Linked DNA regions of Caenorhabditis elegans. The protein of the gene in region 3 purifies or fractionates together with the protein of the main gene of each other region. This does not show direct contact. Each region holds a gene or a part of one and is shown on either strand. Other genes may lie near its edges. The genes, in order: K12H4.7, rpl-4, cey-4 and byn-1.

What was found.
Region 1: the proteins of cey-4 (region 3) and K12H4.7 purify together in Caenorhabditis elegans (affinity purification with mass spectrometry, with the first as the bait; one large-scale study listed by BioGRID). This does not show direct contact.
Region 2: the proteins of cey-4 (region 3) and rpl-4 purify together in Caenorhabditis elegans (affinity purification with mass spectrometry, with the first as the bait; one large-scale study listed by BioGRID). This does not show direct contact.
Region 4: the proteins of cey-4 (region 3) and byn-1 purify together in Caenorhabditis elegans (affinity purification with mass spectrometry, with the first as the bait; one large-scale study listed by BioGRID). This does not show direct contact.

What each region holds. Positions count from the first base shown.
Region 1 is NC_003281.10:8,047,922-8,053,087, forward strand, and holds K12H4.7 (Putative serine protease K12H4.7), read right to left. Parts: upstream 3,161-5,166; 5' UTR 3,120-3,160; coding exon 3,089-3,119; intron 2,573-3,088; coding exon 2,469-2,572; intron 2,421-2,468; coding exon 2,219-2,420; intron 2,176-2,218; coding exon 2,085-2,175; intron 2,040-2,084; coding exon 1,804-2,039; intron 1,757-1,803; coding exon 1,621-1,756; intron 1,355-1,620; coding exon 735-1,354; intron 686-734; coding exon 573-685; 3' UTR 529-572; downstream 1-528. Other genes in the region: mals-1 (Mitochondrial Assembly of ribosomal Large Subunit), read left to right, coding at 1-76, 128-289, 334-459.
Region 2 is NC_003279.8:4,645,116-4,648,957, forward strand, and holds rpl-4 (Large ribosomal subunit protein uL4), read right to left. Parts: upstream 1,849-3,842; 5' UTR 1,843-1,848; coding exon 1,671-1,842; intron 1,665-1,670; exon of another isoform or gene 1,611-1,664; intron 1,589-1,610; coding exon 1,326-1,588; intron 1,274-1,325; coding exon 1,166-1,273; intron 1,117-1,165; coding exon 622-1,116; 3' UTR 547-621; downstream 1-546. Other genes in the region: lmd-2 (LysM domain-containing protein), read left to right, coding at 70-189, 238-510; B0041.8 (Plus3 domain-containing protein), read left to right, coding at 2,309-2,450, 2,498-2,766, 2,816-3,004; B0041.5 (Solute carrier family 35 member F5), read right to left, coding at 3,325-3,626, 3,683-3,842.
Region 3 is NC_003281.10:10,866,412-10,870,251, forward strand, and holds cey-4 (CSD domain-containing protein), read right to left. Parts: upstream 2,293-3,840; 5' UTR 2,209-2,292; coding exon 2,157-2,208; intron 2,111-2,156; coding exon 1,498-2,110; intron 969-1,497; coding exon 749-968; 3' UTR 535-748; downstream 1-534. Other genes in the region: oxi-1 (Ubiquitin-protein ligase E3B), read left to right, coding at 35-455; vps-50 (Vps54_N domain-containing protein), read left to right, coding at 2,981-3,058, 3,107-3,322, 3,370-3,803.
Region 4 is NC_003281.10:6,930,268-6,936,362, reverse strand, and holds byn-1 (Cell adhesion protein byn-1), read right to left. Parts: upstream 4,363-6,095; 5' UTR 4,359-4,362; coding exon 4,209-4,358; intron 4,140-4,208; coding exon 4,027-4,139; intron 3,980-4,026; coding exon 3,874-3,979; intron 3,822-3,873; coding exon 3,666-3,821; intron 3,620-3,665; coding exon 3,486-3,619; intron 3,438-3,485; coding exon 3,348-3,437; intron 3,297-3,347; coding exon 3,152-3,296; intron 3,106-3,151; coding exon 3,010-3,105; intron 2,962-3,009; coding exon 2,728-2,961; intron 2,703-2,727; exon of another isoform or gene 2,653-2,702; coding exon of another isoform or gene 2,356-2,652; intron 2,306-2,355; coding exon of another isoform or gene 2,021-2,305; intron 1,977-2,020; coding exon of another isoform or gene 1,665-1,976; intron 1,618-1,664; coding exon of another isoform or gene 1,453-1,617; intron 1,408-1,452; coding exon of another isoform or gene 1,189-1,407; intron 1,142-1,188; coding exon of another isoform or gene 1,085-1,141; exon of another isoform or gene 1,044-1,084; intron 836-1,043; coding exon 710-835; 3' UTR 501-709; downstream 1-500. Other genes in the region: coq-2 (4-hydroxybenzoate polyprenyltransferase, mitochondrial), read right to left, coding at 113-219, 263-381; F57B9.8 (Tyrosine-protein kinase), read left to right, coding at 1,085-1,141, 1,189-1,407, 1,453-1,617, 1,665-1,976, 2,021-2,305, 2,356-2,652; inf-1 (Eukaryotic initiation factor 4A), read right to left, coding at 4,778-4,978, 5,034-5,285, 5,338-5,757, 5,842-6,095.

The DNA.
Region 1 (5,166 bases), 2.8 Mb from region 3:
TTTGACTGATCAAAGAGCAAAAGATGTATTTGTTGTAAAATCAGAAGAAACAGAAATGACACCGTATACACATAAGGTAATTAATCCTCGTAATTCAGTAAGGAGAAAATTAATCTCATATTTTCAGATAATTTGCTCAGCATTCAATTCGCGACAAGCTTCAGCAATTTCTGAAAATCTTCGATCTCTTCTAAAAATTGACGGAGTGTCGAATGGATCCATGTCACATGCACGAAGGAGCACAAAACGAAGCAATGGATGGTATGTCAGTGAGGTGGAAAGAGTTCAGGTATTACTTCCTACATATTATATTTTTTAATGCCTATACTTCAGGTGCACGTAATGAGTGAAGAATGCCGTGAGAAGTACGATTTGGAAGCAATTTGGGCTGGCGATGATCGGATCTTAGACGAGATTGATGAGGAGAAACAGAAGATTTTGCTGCCACCGAGACGATAATGTTTTCCTTTTGTTATTTATAACATTTAGATTATTGTTATTATTTTTGTAATATCGTTGATATGAAATATTAGAGTCAAATTTTCATTTCTATAACATAAAATCCATAACAATTAATTAGCATGAAGCCATCCATCAAGAACATCCGAGATTCTTTGGCGGGCGTTTGTCAAGTACATACTATCCAAGCTGGATGCTCCGTACATGTCAGCACAATGGGCGGTTCCTGGAATTAATGTAATTATACTATTTTTGTACATAAAGTTCAAGATTACCATTGATCACAACTGGCACAATATTGCTGTTCGAGCTTGTCAATTTTCCAAGTGCATGCCATGGATCAATATCTCCATTTGGTAGAAGAATTCTGTCAGTGTTCAAATTATCTCTTCCTCCATAATATTGATTAGTGTAATCTACAGATGTCTGAACTTCTTGACTATTGTATGCAGCTCCATAGATAGCAGTACATTCATCAATATAATATTGAGCTGGAAGATTGCTTACACCTCCGAACCATGGTCCAGCAGTAGCTGATGAAGTTGATTGATAATATCCGAACTCAGTGCAAGTCTGCCAAACCCATGCTCTGTCAGATTGAGCCTCTCCGAATGTTTCATCTTTCATGAAAGAAATGAAACCATTGTAATCAATATCATTGCATCCGAAATATCCACTGACTTGGTTAAAATAGTCATTGACTTGTTTCAATTTCTGAAGTGGTGTTGATTTAGTGTTAATGTGATAACGGCAAATGGCATGAGAAATTGTGAGTTGAGTGGCAAACGATCCAGCGGCATCACCAGAATATTGAACAACCTCCATGTATGGAGAATATACTGTTTCCCAGAAATACTTGAGTGATTTATCGTCCATTTGAATGTCTTGGCAGAGACTGAAAAATTGTTGCTTATTTTACAATATATATTTCAATTTGACGCATTGAATGAACACGCCAAGTTATACGCACTTCTCAAAACATTTGTGACTAGAATAGCTGACAAAGGAACTATGTAGAGACTGGAACTTCCAGAGAAAAGTTTCAAAAAAGTTAGAGCGGTTAATTCAGTTTGAAACGCGCAGGAATGGGGGGAATACAGAAGGTTCACTCGAGGTTTTTGGCTTTGGCTAACTAGTAAGCATACATCATAATAAACTCACTGGAAAGCAGTTTTCAATTGTTTGCGTCCATCGGAAGTTTGAAGAAGAGAAGCAACCAAGTTGAATCCTTGGGTCACACTGGCGGCACACTCAGTTGAGTTACGGGTAATTGAGTTTTGTACAACCTCAAGATACTCTGAAATAGAAAGTAATTGGAAGTAAATTGCTGCGTATCTTTTTAACCTTTGAAGTCAACCTCGGCTTGAACTGGACCACTGGATCCAACAGCAGCATACACCAATTCTGGATGCTTTGCACGAGTCCATGCGGCCAAAGCTCCAGAGTAGGATCCTCCGAAAGTGACCCACTTGGCATTGGCCAATTGTGGGAACTTGGCGGTCATTGCCTTAATGAAAGCGGCGGCATCCTCAATAGCTTGGGCAGAAGACAAGTATTTCAGGTTTGGTACGGACATGTCGCTGGAAAACATTAATAATAGGGAGTTATTTCGTAAAAAGAAATACCTGGTTGGGTGAGTCTCTCCATAGAATCTGTGCTCAATATCAAAGACCCAGGCTCCTTGTTTGGCAGCCAAGTTGGTGATTTCAAGTCCAGCTTTAAAAATAAAATGTCTTGTATGATAAAAAAGTAAACTAACGATAAGAAACCCAATAACTAGACTCTGGTCCTTCTCCTCCAAGCATCAAGAAAGCTGGTCCTCCAGCCTTGTACCATTGGTTGTTATGATAATATCTCTGCTGGAAAGTCTTTCCGACGGAAGAATCAAAATGATCAAGAGTTTGAGTGAAAGTAGATGAGACTACATTGTCAAAGTTGATCATATGAGAAACGGAAGACATCTGGAATAGACTTTTTTTGTTCTGTACATTGGATGTTTGAACACTTACTGGTGGAGTCTTCTTCATTCCTCCACGTGGACGTCCACGGATCATGTTACGACGAACACGCTGCTCATTGCTTGGAGCAGACAATACCTGGGTCAGCACACATGCTGAAATGTTAAGTTATTCAGTGTGAAACTACAGAAACTATGGTAAACATAGAACTGAACTTAAAATTTATTAATTCGATGGTAAATAATGTTATCAGTTTTGAAACCTTAGTTTTTAGACAGTTGCTCGTCTCGATAAAAATGAATCCACGAATTATAAATTTTGTGTATTTCGTTGTAAAGATTAGTAGAAAATTCTTTTGAAAGATTCAACAATACAACATTTGAGAACATTGGCTAGACTAGATCTAGGTCTAGATAGAGTATATTCCCGTCGAAAACAGTTTCCAGATTCCTTATTTCCAGAAAAATATGTGAGACTTCATAATTTGTTTTTTTAGATTTTGAGTAATAAAAATATGTTCTGGCCATATAGCCTAATGGTCACGAATTTTAGAAAAAAACGACTCATGAAATTTACGGAACTGGCATTGAATCTGGGCAACTTCACTTTTAAGCTCCTCAAAGAGAAAGTAGCTACAGAAATTCTAAAACGATGTTTAAAATTAAATTTACCTGCCAGTAGCACTGCCAAAAGAGTCTTCATGTTTCCACTTTCTAGAATAAAAAGAAAAAGTGAAATAAAGCAAGAGTTTTCAGTTGATAAGCACCCACTTATACACTTTTCCTTATCAAATAATTTATCGCTGATTTGCGAGTTCAATTCCGTTTTCGCTATCACATTTAAATGATGATTTTACTGATTCGTGGCACAACTACATTCGAAATACTAAATCATCTTTTAGACTGACGTACTTGCAAACTGGGTTCTTAGTTTACAGGAATACTGGGCCAAAGTTTGAAAAATAAAATAACAAAGCCAATTTCAGAGAAACTGCAAAGATCAATAAAAAGTTGGAATTCGAAACGTTTAATTGTTTACTGGAACTATCAAATTGAATATAATCTTTTCAAAAATAAAATTTCCATATTCATAACATCATACCTAAGCATTTTCTGTCAGGATATGGAAGAAAATAAAAGGAAAAGTTGGTTGAATAAATAAATTACTAATAGAGGAAATACGGTATTCTTCGAAAAACACTTGCAACAAGCCAGTCATCATTTCAAATTTTTTTAAAATTCCGTTTCTCCATTCCATCATTTTCCATAAATATGTGCACTGAACTGTTTTACCTGCTCTCACTTGACTTCTTCTTCTATTCTACCTTCTTCAATCTTATTTCTTTTCCGTTGTTCGCAAACACTAGCCACATCACGCCTCCCGGTTGAGGAGATGAGAGGTAGGTGCTCATCTATTCAATACTCCGTTTTTCAAGTTTTAAATCGAGACATTTGTTCAAAATTGGTGAATTAAGGTCTCGCTATGTTCTCGCAAGTTCCAATTTTTATTGATTTGATTTCTCATCACGATCGTAGGTGCTAAAAATTTGTCAAGAATTCTCACAGAAATCTAAACTCTAAAAATATTATTTCCCTCTATAATTTGCTAGCTTTCAAACGTTTATTTCTACATATTGAATTTAATTCTAAATTTCCAAATTACGTGAATGCTGCCTAAAGTCTCGATTACGCAATAGTTACATAACCAAAGATGTGTCTTGACACTCCTTCAACTTTTTTTCCCAAAATTCTCGAGGTAAAAAAGTGAAAAAAAGGGCAGTTAGAGACCACCTGGGTGTTGATGCAAGTCTTGCGTTGTGTCTTTTTTATACATTGAAATTTGGAAAAAAAATGCTTGAGAAATGAAATTATGGTAGAATACGGTAGAACTTGTATTTCCAAACTGTGAACGTGATGCATTTCTTGTTGGAATCCTTAGAGAATACGATATATTAGCAAACATCAAGAATCTTCCATTTTCCTTTTTCTTTCAAACTTTCGATTCCGTTAGCCATAACTTGCAATACGAGACAGTTCAAAAAGAGAAAAAACATTGAAAAACCATAGCATCTTCATAAAAAGTGCAATTAAATATATTGAGTAACCGTCTAAATGGTCATCTAGTTTTGTTCCGCCGTCACGCAACTATTAAATTCTCCATCTTTAGCCAATTATTATTATTCTTGGGTGTTATGCAACTTTTCTATTCGTACAGATTTTTCTTCATTTGGTTTTGGTTTTTAATATTCTTTTTTTTTGTTTTTTAACGTGTTAAAAAATTGTGAAAATGATTACAAAATATCAAACTAAATATTTTCCAATTTCGAAAAAATCCACACACATGTATTTATCGAATTCTATTCAAACATAAATTTCCCACTATTTTTTTGTCCAAAACAGAAAGAGTGGAATGTGTAAGATACAACTCAGTTTTTCACAAGTATCCAATCCAATTATGTGCACAGTCTCGAGTTTTAATGGTATGGGAACTTGGGATTTGAGATAATAAAAATAGTTGGTTACGGTGGTTGATGAGAATTTTTATTTGTTGCTGCATTGAGACTAAGAGAGTTGGATATCACGTGATTTCTCAATTTTCATAATTATCTACTATTGTATAAGTTGCTGGAAAATTTTTGACAAAATAATTGTTTTATGAACACTTACCGAAGGGGTTTTTATGGAGATTTGATTTTTCAACTTCTCAATTTCACAAATTTTCAGAAATATGTGTGGCCAAAGTATACATT
Region 2 (3,842 bases), on a different chromosome or scaffold from region 3:
TCATTTTCTATAACTTAAAGCAAAATCCTTAATCGGTCCTCACAGCACATTTAAAATGTGATTCTACAGGTTCGAAGATACGGCACAACCCAAAGTCAATCTTCACCAGTTACACCATGTTCATATACAATTTACCAAGTTCAAACCGATGATACACTTGAAAGAATAGCATTAAAGCATAATTGTTCGGTTGGTTCCATTTGTTTCTCCTTATCTGTTGTTCATGTACGATTTCAGGTTTCATCTCTCGTTCGTGCAAACAAGCTTTGGTCTCCCAGCGCCTTGTTCATGAAGCAATTCATTAGAATACCCATTTTCAATTCACAACAACCTAATCTCAAACCATCTTTGCAAGAAACTCAATGCAAAATTGTGCCTGCCACTACTGAACGGGTCGACAGTAGCCGAGAAGAAAAATCTATGAAAGATATTTTACAGCGCATAGATCGGAACATCAAATCGTTTCGGAAATGTGATAACCCTAGCAGCTCAGCTTATGATCATATTTAAATTATTTTTGAAATAAATCTGTTGTCAAAGTAAATCGTTCTGGAAATTTAAACAATGCGTTCAACAAATTAAATCGGTTATTAACAAAAAAGTTTATCAACAACAGAATACTTATTTCTTCACGTTGGCCTTTGAAGCCTTGCGGAGGATAGAAGCATATGGGTTCAACTTGTACAAGAGGGTTCTCTTCTTGAGTGGGTTGCGGTGGACCTTTGGAAGCACTGGGTTCTTCTTTGGAGCTCTGATAGCCTTAACGACCTCTTCGGAACGGATGATGCGGGAGAAGTCGGAGTTGGCCATGATTGGGAGTGGGACAGACCATCCCTTCTTGAGTTGAGAAGAGTTGGCAACGGTGGTTCCGTAGATGGTATCAAGCTTCTTGAAGGCAGACTCGGTCCAGATGATAAGACGTCCGAGATGTCCTCCTGGGGCGAGCTTGAGAAGGTTGAGTCTCTCAACATTCATGACATCGACTCCTGGGATGTTGCGGAAGGCACGAGCGCACTCAGCATCTTGTCCGTAGATAACAACTGGTCCGAGCTTCTGCTTGTGTTGACGGTTGCGGAGCTTTCCCTTTCCGGCGCGGTTTCTCTTCGAGTTGTAAACCTTAAAACTGTTACGTTAAAAACAAATTTAATTTTTTTAAATGGTATACCTTCTCGATATCAGCCCACAAGTGGGAGCGACGGAGGAAGACGACGGCCTCCTTGGTCTTGCGGAAGCTTTCGACCTTGTCGGAAACAACAAGTGGGACCTCAGCGACCTAAAAAATAGTACTGTAAATAGGAACAAAACTTTTAAAAAAGTTTACTTACTTGATCGATGACGTGTCCACGAGCTTGGAGAAGAGCTGGGATTCCGGAGGCAGCAATAGCTGAGGAAACAGCGTATCTCTTCTGGGCAATGTTGACGTTGCGGTGCCAGCGGCGGAACACCTTGAGTGGGGCGAACATGTGTCCTCCACGGCACATATTTCCGAAAGCTCCCTGTCCGGAACGGTGGGTACCTCCTCCGCGAACACGTGGAATACGGGCAACGGCACGTCCAGTTCCCCAGGACTCAGCAGAGTGTTGCTTTCCTGAAATAAATAGTAATTGAGGAACACAGAAGTTAGTTTGAAATTAAAATAATCAATAACCGAATCTAATTATGTCACTTACCGGCCTTGGTGTTAACGGCATGGGCCTGTCTTCTGTTTCTGCGGACCTGATCGGCGATGAAGCTCACCAAGTCTGGGCGGATTGGAGTACGGAAAACGGCTGGGAGCCGGATTTGAGATTGAGTGGCCTCGTACTTTTCATCGTACACAGTCACGAGCGGTCTGGCCGCCATTATTACCTGCAATCAACAGAAATAGTAAAAAATAGATTAATTTTAAAAGAAAATGATTCAAAAAATGCGAGAAGAGTAAAGAAAAAATGATGATATTTTAGGCAATATTCAGATTTTTCGACCGAAACAGGCTTAGGATATTCAAAACCTTATTTTAATACATTCCAAATGTGAAAATATCACCGAAAATCTTTTTTATATTGAAAAAACGAAAAAAGTTCCTAAAAAATTTCAGAAAACAGGGAAATCGTGTTTAAAGGGAGGCAAAAATTAGGGTATTGGCTGAGTATCCAACGTCGGGGTCTCGCCGCGATGAGACGAAATGTCGGCAGGCAACTTGTGTCAATTTACGAGGGCGCGGTATCCGCTGATTTCAAACCCGATCCTTCCATTTTCTTGCTTAAAAACGTTTTCAAATAGTTTAATTGTGTTTTTACTTGTTTCAATACATAAGTGTTTGGGATAGATGCTGTCTTCTACATCAACATTCTTTCCTCTCGTGAAAATCGACTACAAGCGAATGGAATTATTGCGGAAAGCGGCACAGATGAAAAATTTCCGTGTAAATGAGGATACGCTGAGAAAATTGAACGACGTTGAAACAGTTGGTATGTGTTTTACAATAATATGTTTTGTTAAATAATTGAGTTTTCAGGTGAGATAATTTCCACAACACCGTCGACATCGTCAGTTGAATCATCAGGATTTCGAAGAAATGCGAAAAGAAAAATGGACGATGATTCGAACACCAGTATGTTTTCAGAAGAACAATGCTCTCATTGTGGATGCCGAATGCTTCGAGTTGTTGATCCAGGACGTCCCGATCGTATGATGGTTCTGGAGTGTATGCGCTCAAATTGTCTGGCATCTGTGAAACTTACTGATCTTCCAGTTGGGACGGTCATTGGAAAGGAAATTAGTTTGGTAAGTTGATAATTTATTTTGAAATTAAAAACAATCATTTTATTTTCAGACTCCGAAATCCGCCTACAACACTCTAGCTCGCTACTATCCCAAAAACCGTTACACTCCGGAATTGGATTCATTCGATCAGGAACAACATGGAAAGCGTAAAGCGAATGTCAAGATTTTTGAGTCATCTGCAAGAGGAATATTCATTGATGTTCCAGGACAAGACACCAAAGCTCGCTTTGTGGCATAATTTTAATATTAATCGTTAAATTACTAGTAATATGCCGGGTTGATCACAAAACCAAAAAGCCAACGCTGTATTAATTTTCACTTCCGATTTACTGAACGATCTGAATTGTCTGATAAATATCAAGTTTATAAAAGTAACATAAAACGATATTTCTTCAAACATTTATTTTTCCCGAATTTAATACAGTGCAAAAAAAATTAAATATGACTAGTTGATCAGAGGGGAGTGTGTCACAACCTTCGAATGCCTATAAAGCGACCAGTAGAACAAGAGAAAATAGAGATTCTGAGAGAGTTTAAACAATGTTTCTAAGAGAGATGCTACTCGTCCGATAGACTATCCATAAGATGTTCATTGTCCGGCGATAATGATTCCACTTTTCGTACTCGTTTTGAAAGCCCTTTTCGTATTGAAGTTGACGGATTTTGTGCATATGCAGCGCCAACGAATGCCACGAGGATCGGAATCGATGCAATAACTTGTGCCAGTGTTGGAGCTTTGCTTCGAATCACTGTATCGGCGAGGAATGACAGAGGAATGCTTACAGTCATTGATAGGCAGGTGGTGAGAGAATCACACATTCCAGCGGCAAGAAGCCAAAGGTAATCAGCGACAATTGTTCCTGAAATTAAAAAAAAAATTAATATTAAAAATACTCATTAATACAATAAATCTCACCAATGAGCGCAGAAAATAAAATTGACGAGAACTGTGTAGCATTTGGAAGTGGATGTAATGGTTCTACACCAAATCTATCCAACAAATTTAATGTAGGTGTTCCAAGAACCAAAGCGATGACTCCGATTGCTCCAAACATCAAATTAATATCCAGTTTTCC
Region 3 (3,840 bases):
CATTAATTTGAAATTTCGAGAATTAATATTCCAGAGACATCGATCTGGCGGATCTGAAGCGCAATGTGCAATATTTCGGAGGATTCCATGGAAACCATCGGCTTATTAAATGGCTTTGGGATATTCTTGAGAACAAGTTCACTTCAGAAGAGAGGAAACTGTTCCTAAAGTTTGTCACTTCTTGCTCGAGACCTCCTGTTCTTGGATTTTCGTATCTCGAGCCGCCCTTCTCCATTCGATGCGTTGAAGTTTCCGACGATCAGGATCAGGGAGACACCTTGGGAAGTGTGGTTCGTGGATTCTTGGCTTTGAGAAAGGGAACTGCAGCTACTCGACTTCCAACTGCGTCCACCTGCTTTAACTTGCTAAAGCTTCCGAATTACAATAAGAAGTCACTGCTGCTCGAGAAACTTCGTTACGCGATCCACGCTGGGACTGGATTCGAGCTTTCCTAAATTCCTAATTATTTATTACATATTTTTATTGCTTACTGGTAGTTTGAATTTGATTTCTATAAAACAATGAACAGAATCATTTGCATTGAAACTTTTACTTAATATAAACTCAAAAAGTTCTCGAAATTGAATTCCAAAGAACTGAGTGGATATAAATCGTGCAGAACAAATTTTGGAAATTTTGGGCTTTTCGAAAGGATCAGCTATACAATTCAAGAAATGGGACTGTTCTCAATACAAAAGGTGTTTAATTAGATAACAAAAGTTGATGGTAGGTGTCAACAGCTAGAAGCCTAAGCTTTAGCTGGAGCAGCGGTCTCTTCCTTCTGCTCAGTGGTGGTGGTGGGCTCTTTATTTCCCTTGCGCTGACGTTTCTTCTTCTTCTCGGCGGCTGGAGCAGCATCGGTAGTGGCAGCGGCAGCATCACCGTCTCCCTTCTCGCCGGATGGAGCATCTGGCTGGAGCTTTCCGTGGCGGCGAGTGCGACGCTTTCCGCGAGTTTCTCCGTCTCCGCTGAAAAATTGTAATTTTAGAGTTAAAATTCCAGTTTTAAATGGAACGTATAGACCAGGGGTGTGCGGCAAATTTGCCGAATTTGCCGAGCTCGGCAAATTTTGAGATTTGCCGCACACCCCTGGTATAGACCCAAAATGTGCAAATTGCATAATAAAACTTCTTTAAAATTTGAAAAAATGGGCTAACGTCCAATTTGGCCACTTTCTGTCCAAAAATGATTTTTTTTTTCGGAATTATCTACCTTTATTGCATATTTTGCTCGTTTATCTCACATTATTTCGTTGATTAAAGTAGTTTTTACACCAATAGGTAACCAAAAATGCCAAAAATCAACGAACTAATATGAGATAAACGACTAAAATATGCAATAAAAGCAGATGATACCGAAAATATCAACTTTCGGCGGCCACTTTGAGATTTTACTTAATTTCAGCCCATTTTTCATTTTTTTTTTTAAATAAATCGGTTTATTTGAGCGCATTTTGAGCCTAAAAACACCAGAACCGTTACTAAAAGCTAGACTAACCTATTCTCAATGGTGTCCGACTTCTCCTTCTCATCTTTCTCATCTCCGTCCTGGTCACGTGTCTGACGTGGAGCACCACGTCCTCGTCCACCGCGTCCTCGTGCACCACCACGTCCTCTTGTTCTCCAATGGGTGAGCAAAGTACGAGCGAATCTCGATCCACGAACATTCTCCCCATCTGGTCCAGTCACGTTGGCGGCTTCTGGTCCTTTGAGTCCTTCGACAATGTCAAAGACGACTGGCTCATCGTCATCGAGAGTTCTGAGATAGAACTTAATGGTGCTTGACTTGGTGATGGCGGTCTGATGGACGAAGAAGTCCTCATTCTCGTCGGTTGGCTTATCACGAGCAACGAATCCGTAGCGTCCACGAACGGAGAACCATTTGACGTGTCCTTTGACACCGGTCTCGATGACCTTCTTCGATGCAAGATCCTCCTCGAGCTTCTTCATCTGATCCTCATATGGTGGTCTTGGTTGGTAGAAGTGTCCTCCGCGACCACGACCACGTCCTCGTCCGCGGAATCCGCCACGACGTGCTGGCTGCTTTGCATCGTTCGCCTCGTTGGTAGTGTCGACGGCCAGGTTGTCCAATTTCTCGGTCACCTCGGCAACTGCAATTTGAGGGATTAAATATTGAAGACCACCTGTCCTACTCACCTTTGTCCTTCTTCTCCTCAATAGTTGTTCCGTTAGCTTGTTCAGTCGACATGATGTTTCACGGCGTTGGCCTTAGTTTTTGATGGTGTCAAGGGGGTGAGGAAAATCCTCTGAGCTGATTGTACTCAACTACACTCTGCAAAAAAAAAAAATTAAATATAAACATCGAATGCAAATGTGCCACACAAAGGGTGTGGTGGAAAATGACACGACAGAACGATCGATAAGTCAAATTGACATGGGGCGGAAATGTTATCATCCGATTAAAAAGTGCTAAGCGCCGTTGTTTTTTTTTCAAATTTATTGGAAATCGGAACGAACTTAATGGAAAAAATCGGGGAAATATTGCAAAAAAGCTCTTACAATTTCGAAATATATCGAGAATTTTAGGATATTTCCTCATATTATCACAATTTTTCTGTTTAATATTCAATTTAACGCCAAAAAACCGAAGAAACGACGGCAATTTTCAATTTTTCACCAAAAAATAAGAAAGAACTAATAAAAATCGACTGCCAAGAAGGGAGAAAACGTCTTATTTGAAAAATGGTGCTGTGCTCGCAATAGAGAAACGCGCGCGCATTGCAAGGAAACGCAACACCCTGGCACACTTTTTCTCGGATTTACTCTTTCTTATCCGCTTTTAGCTTCCTCTTTGGGAAAAATCGATTGGAATAATTAGATTTTCGAGTGGTTTTTCACAGGATTTACAGAAAAATCGATACTGCTACTTGAAATTTAAATTAATTTTGCTTGCTTCCGCTGGTTTTTTAAATTAAAATACTAACAAATTAACAATTTCAGAGGTGAAAGCTTGGCGAGAAATGGACCGATTTAAGGAACAACTAGCAAAAACTGTTAATCAAATAGGCGAACAATTTTCTTCGGATAGCGATGTAAAAGTGGGAATTTTTTCAAGGAAAATGTCAAATATTAAATCGACTTTTCAGGTTTTATTAGATAATATGAACGAGAAAGTTATGAGCTCTTACGATGCTCCGTCGTGCTCGGAAAGCCCTCCAATAGCTCCAGAGAGTAATTCACAAAACTCAACGCCTCGGAGAGTAAAATCAAAAATTTCCGAGGAAGATGACGTCATCAACTCGATAGACGCCGCGTATTTTATAGATAACGATGAGTTCGATGCGATTGACTATGAATTGAAGGTTTAGTGGAACAAAAAACCAAGTAAAACGAAAATTTTAACTTTTAGAAGCTCTGTGACATCGAAATGTGCTACGAGGACATCCAGCGCGAGAGGTTTCGGCTAAAATCTCAGCATACTGTGGTTTCCAAGAAAATATCCACACTAATCATGCAAAAATCTTCATCCTACACGGCACAGGTCGGTGAAATGGAGAAAATCCGAGACGAAGTCGGAAGTGTTATCAACGAAATTCTGACGATACGAAAAGCGCTCGCGCTGGCGACAAGCCAAACTCGGACGTGTCTCGGATTAATCGCTTATAAAAATAAGAAAATCGTTCTAAATCAGCTGAAAATGACGCTCACAACGATAAAAGGCTTCCACGAGACCGAACAGCACATTCGAGAAACTATTGAAGAAGGAAATTTCCCGCTTGCAATTCAAATGCTAATCGAAACTCAAATAAAAGCCGGGGGATACGCTCATTTTACATGTGTAAAGTAAGTATTAAATGGATTTTTGAATGAAAATGAGAAA
Region 4 (6,095 bases), 3.9 Mb from region 3:
TCTTAAAGGCGCACATTTGTTTGTATTTTACAAAATTAATCGCGTCGAGACTAGGTATCGTATTTTCGGCGCAAAACTCCCAAAACTTCGCGTCTGTGTAATAATAAATTACCGATAGGCTTGTCGACTCTCATCAGTTGAAGATATGGCTTCAAATTTGGCGGAGAAGAAGCAACAAGGCTACTTGCAGTTGGTATCAGTGACATTGGTTGTTTTGTACTAAAATTATAACAATTAAAATTAAAATTTTCGAATTCTGAACCTAGTGGAAATCCATCTTTTTGTTGATTCATCTAAACTATATGAAGTGCTTGTATTTGATCCAACAATGCAATTAATCGAATTGGATCTTCTAGCGATACCTATTGACCTGGTTATCATTTTTTTTTGACGAATCTGAAAACTTTCTCTCGTCAAAGACATGATAACATGAATTTGAAAAAACAAGCATTAAGTTAGGGACGAAAACCTTTGCTCTTTGAAACTAATACTTTGTATTTAGAAAATCAACAACAATTTCATTTGAATGAGGAAGAGAGTAACATAACCAACAATGATGAATAAAAAACAAAGAAATGAACAATTTTTGGGGAGGGGCGCGGGGAAACGAACAATAATGGAAATAGAAGAAAAGAGCAAAGCCTACGTGCAGAATAGAGTGAAAGCGGGAAATATTTCTCTTCTGCGTCTCTTTCTGTTTGTGTGTGATTTAGAATTCCATACTATCCGTCTTTCGGCCTTCGACCACAACTGAAGTGATAACATGTCCGTCTTCGGTTTCCTTGGATTCGAGCTCACGGCGAATTTCAGGCGAGATGAGATAGTGTCCATGGAACTATAAATTGAAATTGGTTAAAAACAATGGAAACATTGAACTCATGGGACCATAAAACTTCGGAAATTACCTGACTTAAACTTTATAATTATGAAAAAAAAATTTACGTGACCAATGATGTGAACCCATACGCCAGGAAAAAAATTAAAAAAAAGAAGAAAACACGCATAAGATCGATCAGAAGTGAAATTTTAATCATTTCGATAATCGTAGAAATTAATTCTACACTCTTTTCACATAATTGGCGCAATGGAGATCAATGAGCAACCATTCTTTCACGGACTTCTTCCACGAGAAGAAGTAAAGGTAATTTGAGAGTAATATTTATTTAAAAGGAGCACCGACTTTTTCAGCTTTTACTTCAAAAAAATGGCGATTATCTGATGAGAACGTCAGAGCCTCAAGGACAAGCACGTCATTTGATCATTTCGGTGATGCAGAACGAGACAAGTCAAGAAGTTGCTCATTATGTGATTCGTACAAGCGACGGAGCATATTCAATCACTGATAAAATTAAATTTGGAACATTGACTGAGTTAGTAAATCATCACAAACAGGCTAAAATTAGTGAGGTACGAGCGATTCATGCACATTATAGACTAATTATTGTTGTTCAGGAAGTTGCAAGCAGTGTTCTAGTGAATCCTATCGGTAGACAATCATGGGAACTGAATCACGCCGATATTACAATGACAAAAGTTCTTGGTGAAGGTGCTTTCGGAGAAGTAAAGCTTGGGACGCTGAAAATGGGATCGACTACAGTAGATGTCGCTATAAAAGTTGTGAGTTGGACTAGACTTTTATATAAAAAGTAATGACGAAACTTCAGGCAAAACTTGAAAAAGTGACTAAAGAACAAATCAAGGAGATCATCACAGAAGCACGTCTGATGCGCGGATTCGATCACAAGAACGTTGTAAAATGTTACGGCGTGGCTGCAATCGATGAACCATTGCTAGTAGTCATGGAGTTAGTTCCTGGTGGTGCTCTGGATAAATATCTTCAGAAGAATTCATCGGTACAATGGCCTGAGAAACTGGATATAATCGCACAAGTGGCAGCTGGTCTGGCATACATTCACAGCAAAAACATTATACACAGGGACATTGCGGCCAGAAACATACTCTATGGAAAAGGCGTTGTATGTTATAAATAATTTAAAAGTTAATAACTAATAACGTTCAGGCTAAAGTCTCTGACTTCGGTTTATCTCGAGTTGGAACGGAGTATCAGATGGATCCGAGCAAAAGAGTTCCAATCAGATGGCTCTCACCAGAAACGATCGTTTCCTTCCTTTATACTCCACAAACTGATGTGTTTGCTTTCTCGATTCTCTGCTGGGAGGTGATCGAGAATGGAGCTCAGCCGTATCCGGAGATGTTGGTGGTGCAGGTACATCAGAAGGTTGGACGCGATGATTACCGTATGCCGATTAGTCAAAAGGCTCCAGCTATGCTTGCCGATGTTATTGTAAGTTCTATTTCATTCCACTATTTTCATAGCAATGTGGAATTTTCCAGAAAAAGTGCTGGATTCGCGATCCTCAACAGCGCCCCACTATGAGCCAAGTTGTCCAGATGATGTACGAAATCACAGGAAAGAAAGATAAAACCTCGGTCAACAAGTCGACAGGACAGCTCCGTGCAAAAATGATGTCTACTGGACCAATGTCAGATCCGATGAGAGATAAAACTGCTAAAAAGACTGGAAGACGTAACAAGAAGAAACCGTCAAGCGCATCGAACGGTCCAGGTGGCAACTCTGGGCCTAGTTCGGGTCCATTGTCTGGTAAGGATTCGAGACTGAAGAAGCCATGAAAATAACTCTCCTAACTAGATGTTCTCGTGATAATAAAACTCGAAGTTTTAATAGTTTTTAAAAATTAAACTTACTCTGATCAGCTCATAAATAGCTGCCTTCTGCTCGGCATTCAAATCGTTCTTGTATCGCTGGCACAGTGCCAAAAGACACTGATGCCACAAAACTGGCATATCTCGTTCATCGGTTTTCAGACGAATGAAGTGATTAACGACTCCGTCGACTGCACGATACGGTAAAGCATACTTCTTATCAATGAGAGCTCGAAGAAACACGGAATTAGCTCCAGTGTATTCCATTTCGGCAATCTGAAATATCAACAGGTTTTTGATGAGATATTTTAAAACAAAAGTTACCCTAAGCATAGCAGCAGCGGAATGAAAAATTGGAATCGGGACTTTGGTGAGGACAGAGCTGAAGATAACAGCTTCACGAAGTGTACATGTTCCAGACTGAGAAAAAAAGAATATACATGAAAAATATTTAAGTTAAACTCACTTCTAATAATGGAAGAATCAATCCTTTGAAGAAAGCGGCAGGCTTGTAGATAGCTTTGCAGAGGGCTTGATACAGATGATAGTTAAGTTTCTTGAATTCATCAATGTCGTCACGAAGACGTGGGAGAAGAACAAGAGTGTAGAATCTGAATCAAACGGTTTTAGAGCTGATATATCTAAAATCGGCATTTAAATACCTCTGACACATTTTTGGGTTCATGTTCGACGCAAACAATCTTGTGGCTTGATACATAGCAGCAGCCGTCCAAGTTTCAGGCTTTGTGAGGCTGAATATGTTTTATTTTATTCAAATCCGATACTAACAGACAACTAACAAAAGAATTTGCTCCCAGTTAATCATTTTTGGAATGATTTTGAATGCTTTTGGGACTTTTCCACTGCGATATTTTGACATATACTGTCCAATCTGCTCATACATCTCAACTACTTCTGGGTCCATGTCACGCATCTGTAAACATTTTGTTATGCTTCAAGGCTCGATGCTTAAAAATTACATTAAACTCATTCGGATCAACTTGGCTGAGTGCAAGCTCTGCATCATTCTGTTTAGCTTCAATTTTGGCTTGAATAATATCGTAGAGTGTGGACATTTGGATAGCATCTTTTTTGAGGAATCTAGCCAAATCAGCTTCATCTCGAGGATCGAGTTCCTATAAATGGAGTTTAACATTATTATCACGAAGCTAAATAGATTTTACTTACAACAACTTGATCTTCAAATCCATTGTCGTCTTCTTCTTCATTATCATCATCATCATCGTCCGATTTGTCGCCGGATGCATCAGCTCCAAGCCAAGCTCCGCGTTGTCTGTAACAGAAATACTTGCATTGAATTATGATAAATTGTTTATTTACCTTTTTGGAACACTAGATGTGGCTGATTCGGTTTCTTGTCTTTCCAGTGCCTCTTCGAGAAGCTGCTTACGAGCTTCATTCAAGATTTTTGATGAGAGCGAATCAGGAACGAACTGAAACTAATTTTATGAACTCTCTGGTCAATGAAAATAATATTTAATTTTCCCTGAATATTTACTGACCTCGTCTGTCTGCGAGTCTTCCCTTTTTCTCTTCTGCTTTTCGCGAAGCTCATCTCGTTGCTTTGCAACTTTACCAGCTTCCAACTGGTTATCCAGTGGAGCATTGGCTGATAATTTGTCACCCCTTCCTTTCAAATTCCTTTTCACCATGTTACTGGAAATTCATAATTAAAAATTAGCAGAATTACGGTGTTCAATATATTCTGAAAGGATCAGAAGCCTGTTCATAAGATTTAAAATGAATGTAACATACGCAATTTCATTATTTTCCAGAAAAAGAGAACGCCAGACAAAAACATTTTGTCAAACAAAACCAAGGTGGCTCTATAACTTTTAGGGGGCAATACTAAACTCTAAATTGAAAGAGAATTAGAATGTTTGAACCAAGTTGGATGGGATAGGGCCAGTACTAAAAAGGGGTGATTAAAAAGATGAAATCACGCATAAAATAAAAATGTGGGACGGTGGGGGTGGAGGAGAAAACAGATAACATGGATAAATATGAGGAAACAAGAGGAAGGGAAAAGCGTGTGGAACAATCGTGGAGGGGATCGGAATTGGATTAAAATTTAGATGAGGTCAGCGATTGATTCTGGCATCTCTTCGATTTGAGTGGTGTAGTAGCTTTCAATTTCCTTGAGCTGACGAGCATCGTTCTCGGTGACGAAGTTGATGGCAACTCCCTTACGACCGAAACGTCCAGAACGTCCGATACGATGGATGTAGTTCTCACGATTGGATGGGAGATCATAGTTGATAACAAGTGAGACCTAAAATATATACATTCCATAGTATTGAATTATAAACACAAATATTTATACTTACCTGTTGTACGTCAATACCACGAGCCAAGATGTCTGTGGTGATGAGAACACGGGAAGATCCTGAACGGAACTCTCGCATAATTGTATCACGCTCAGCTTGATCCATGTCTCCGTGGAGGCAAGAGACTGTGAACTGATTTTCAGTCATTTTCTCGGTGAGTGTGTCGACCTTCCTGCGAGTGTTACAGAAGATGACGGCTTGAGTAACATTGACAACGTTGTAGAGATCACAGAGGCAGTCAAACTTCCACTCCTGAAAAAATGGTTCATGAAAACAATTTCTTAGACTGGGCGAGTAAACTTACATCCTTTTGAACGTTGATGTAGAACTGTCTGATACCTTCAAGGGTGAGCTCGTCCTTCTTGACAAGAATGCGGATTGGATTGCGCATGAAACGATTAGTGACATCAAGAACTTCAGATGGCATAGTAGCCGAAAGAAGGACTACTTGAACGTCTTGTGGCATGGAACGGAAAACCTCGTAGATCTGATCCTTGAAACCTCTAGAAAGCATTTCGTCGGCCTCGTCGAGAACGAACATCTTAATTCTGGATGTGTCAAGAGCATTTCTATTGATCATGTCTCCAACACGTCCTGGAGTTCCGACAACGACGTGAATTCCGGCTTCGAGTTTTCGTTGATCGTCGCGAACACTGGTTCCACCGATACATGGAAGAATGTTAACGTTGAGGTACTCTCCGAGGGCGCTCATGACCTTTTGGATCTACAAAGAAAGATTTTGAAAAGTTTTCTTTAAAAGTATCTGCTAATAATCTATAACTAAAATACACTGAGTGAGAAAGTTTACCTGTTGAGCCAATTCTCTGGTTGGGGCCATAACGAGAGCTTGCACGTGTGGATCCTCGTGGTCGATTCTCTGAAGAATAGAGACCGAGAAAGTTGCAGTCTTTCCAGTTCCAGATTGGGCTTGAGCGATGACGTCCTTTCCAGTGGTGCATGGAACAATTGCGCGCTTTTGAATAGCAGATGGCTTTTCGAAACCGAATCCGTAGATTCCGCGAAGAAGCTCCTCCTTGAGCTCCATGTCGTCGAAAGATTCGA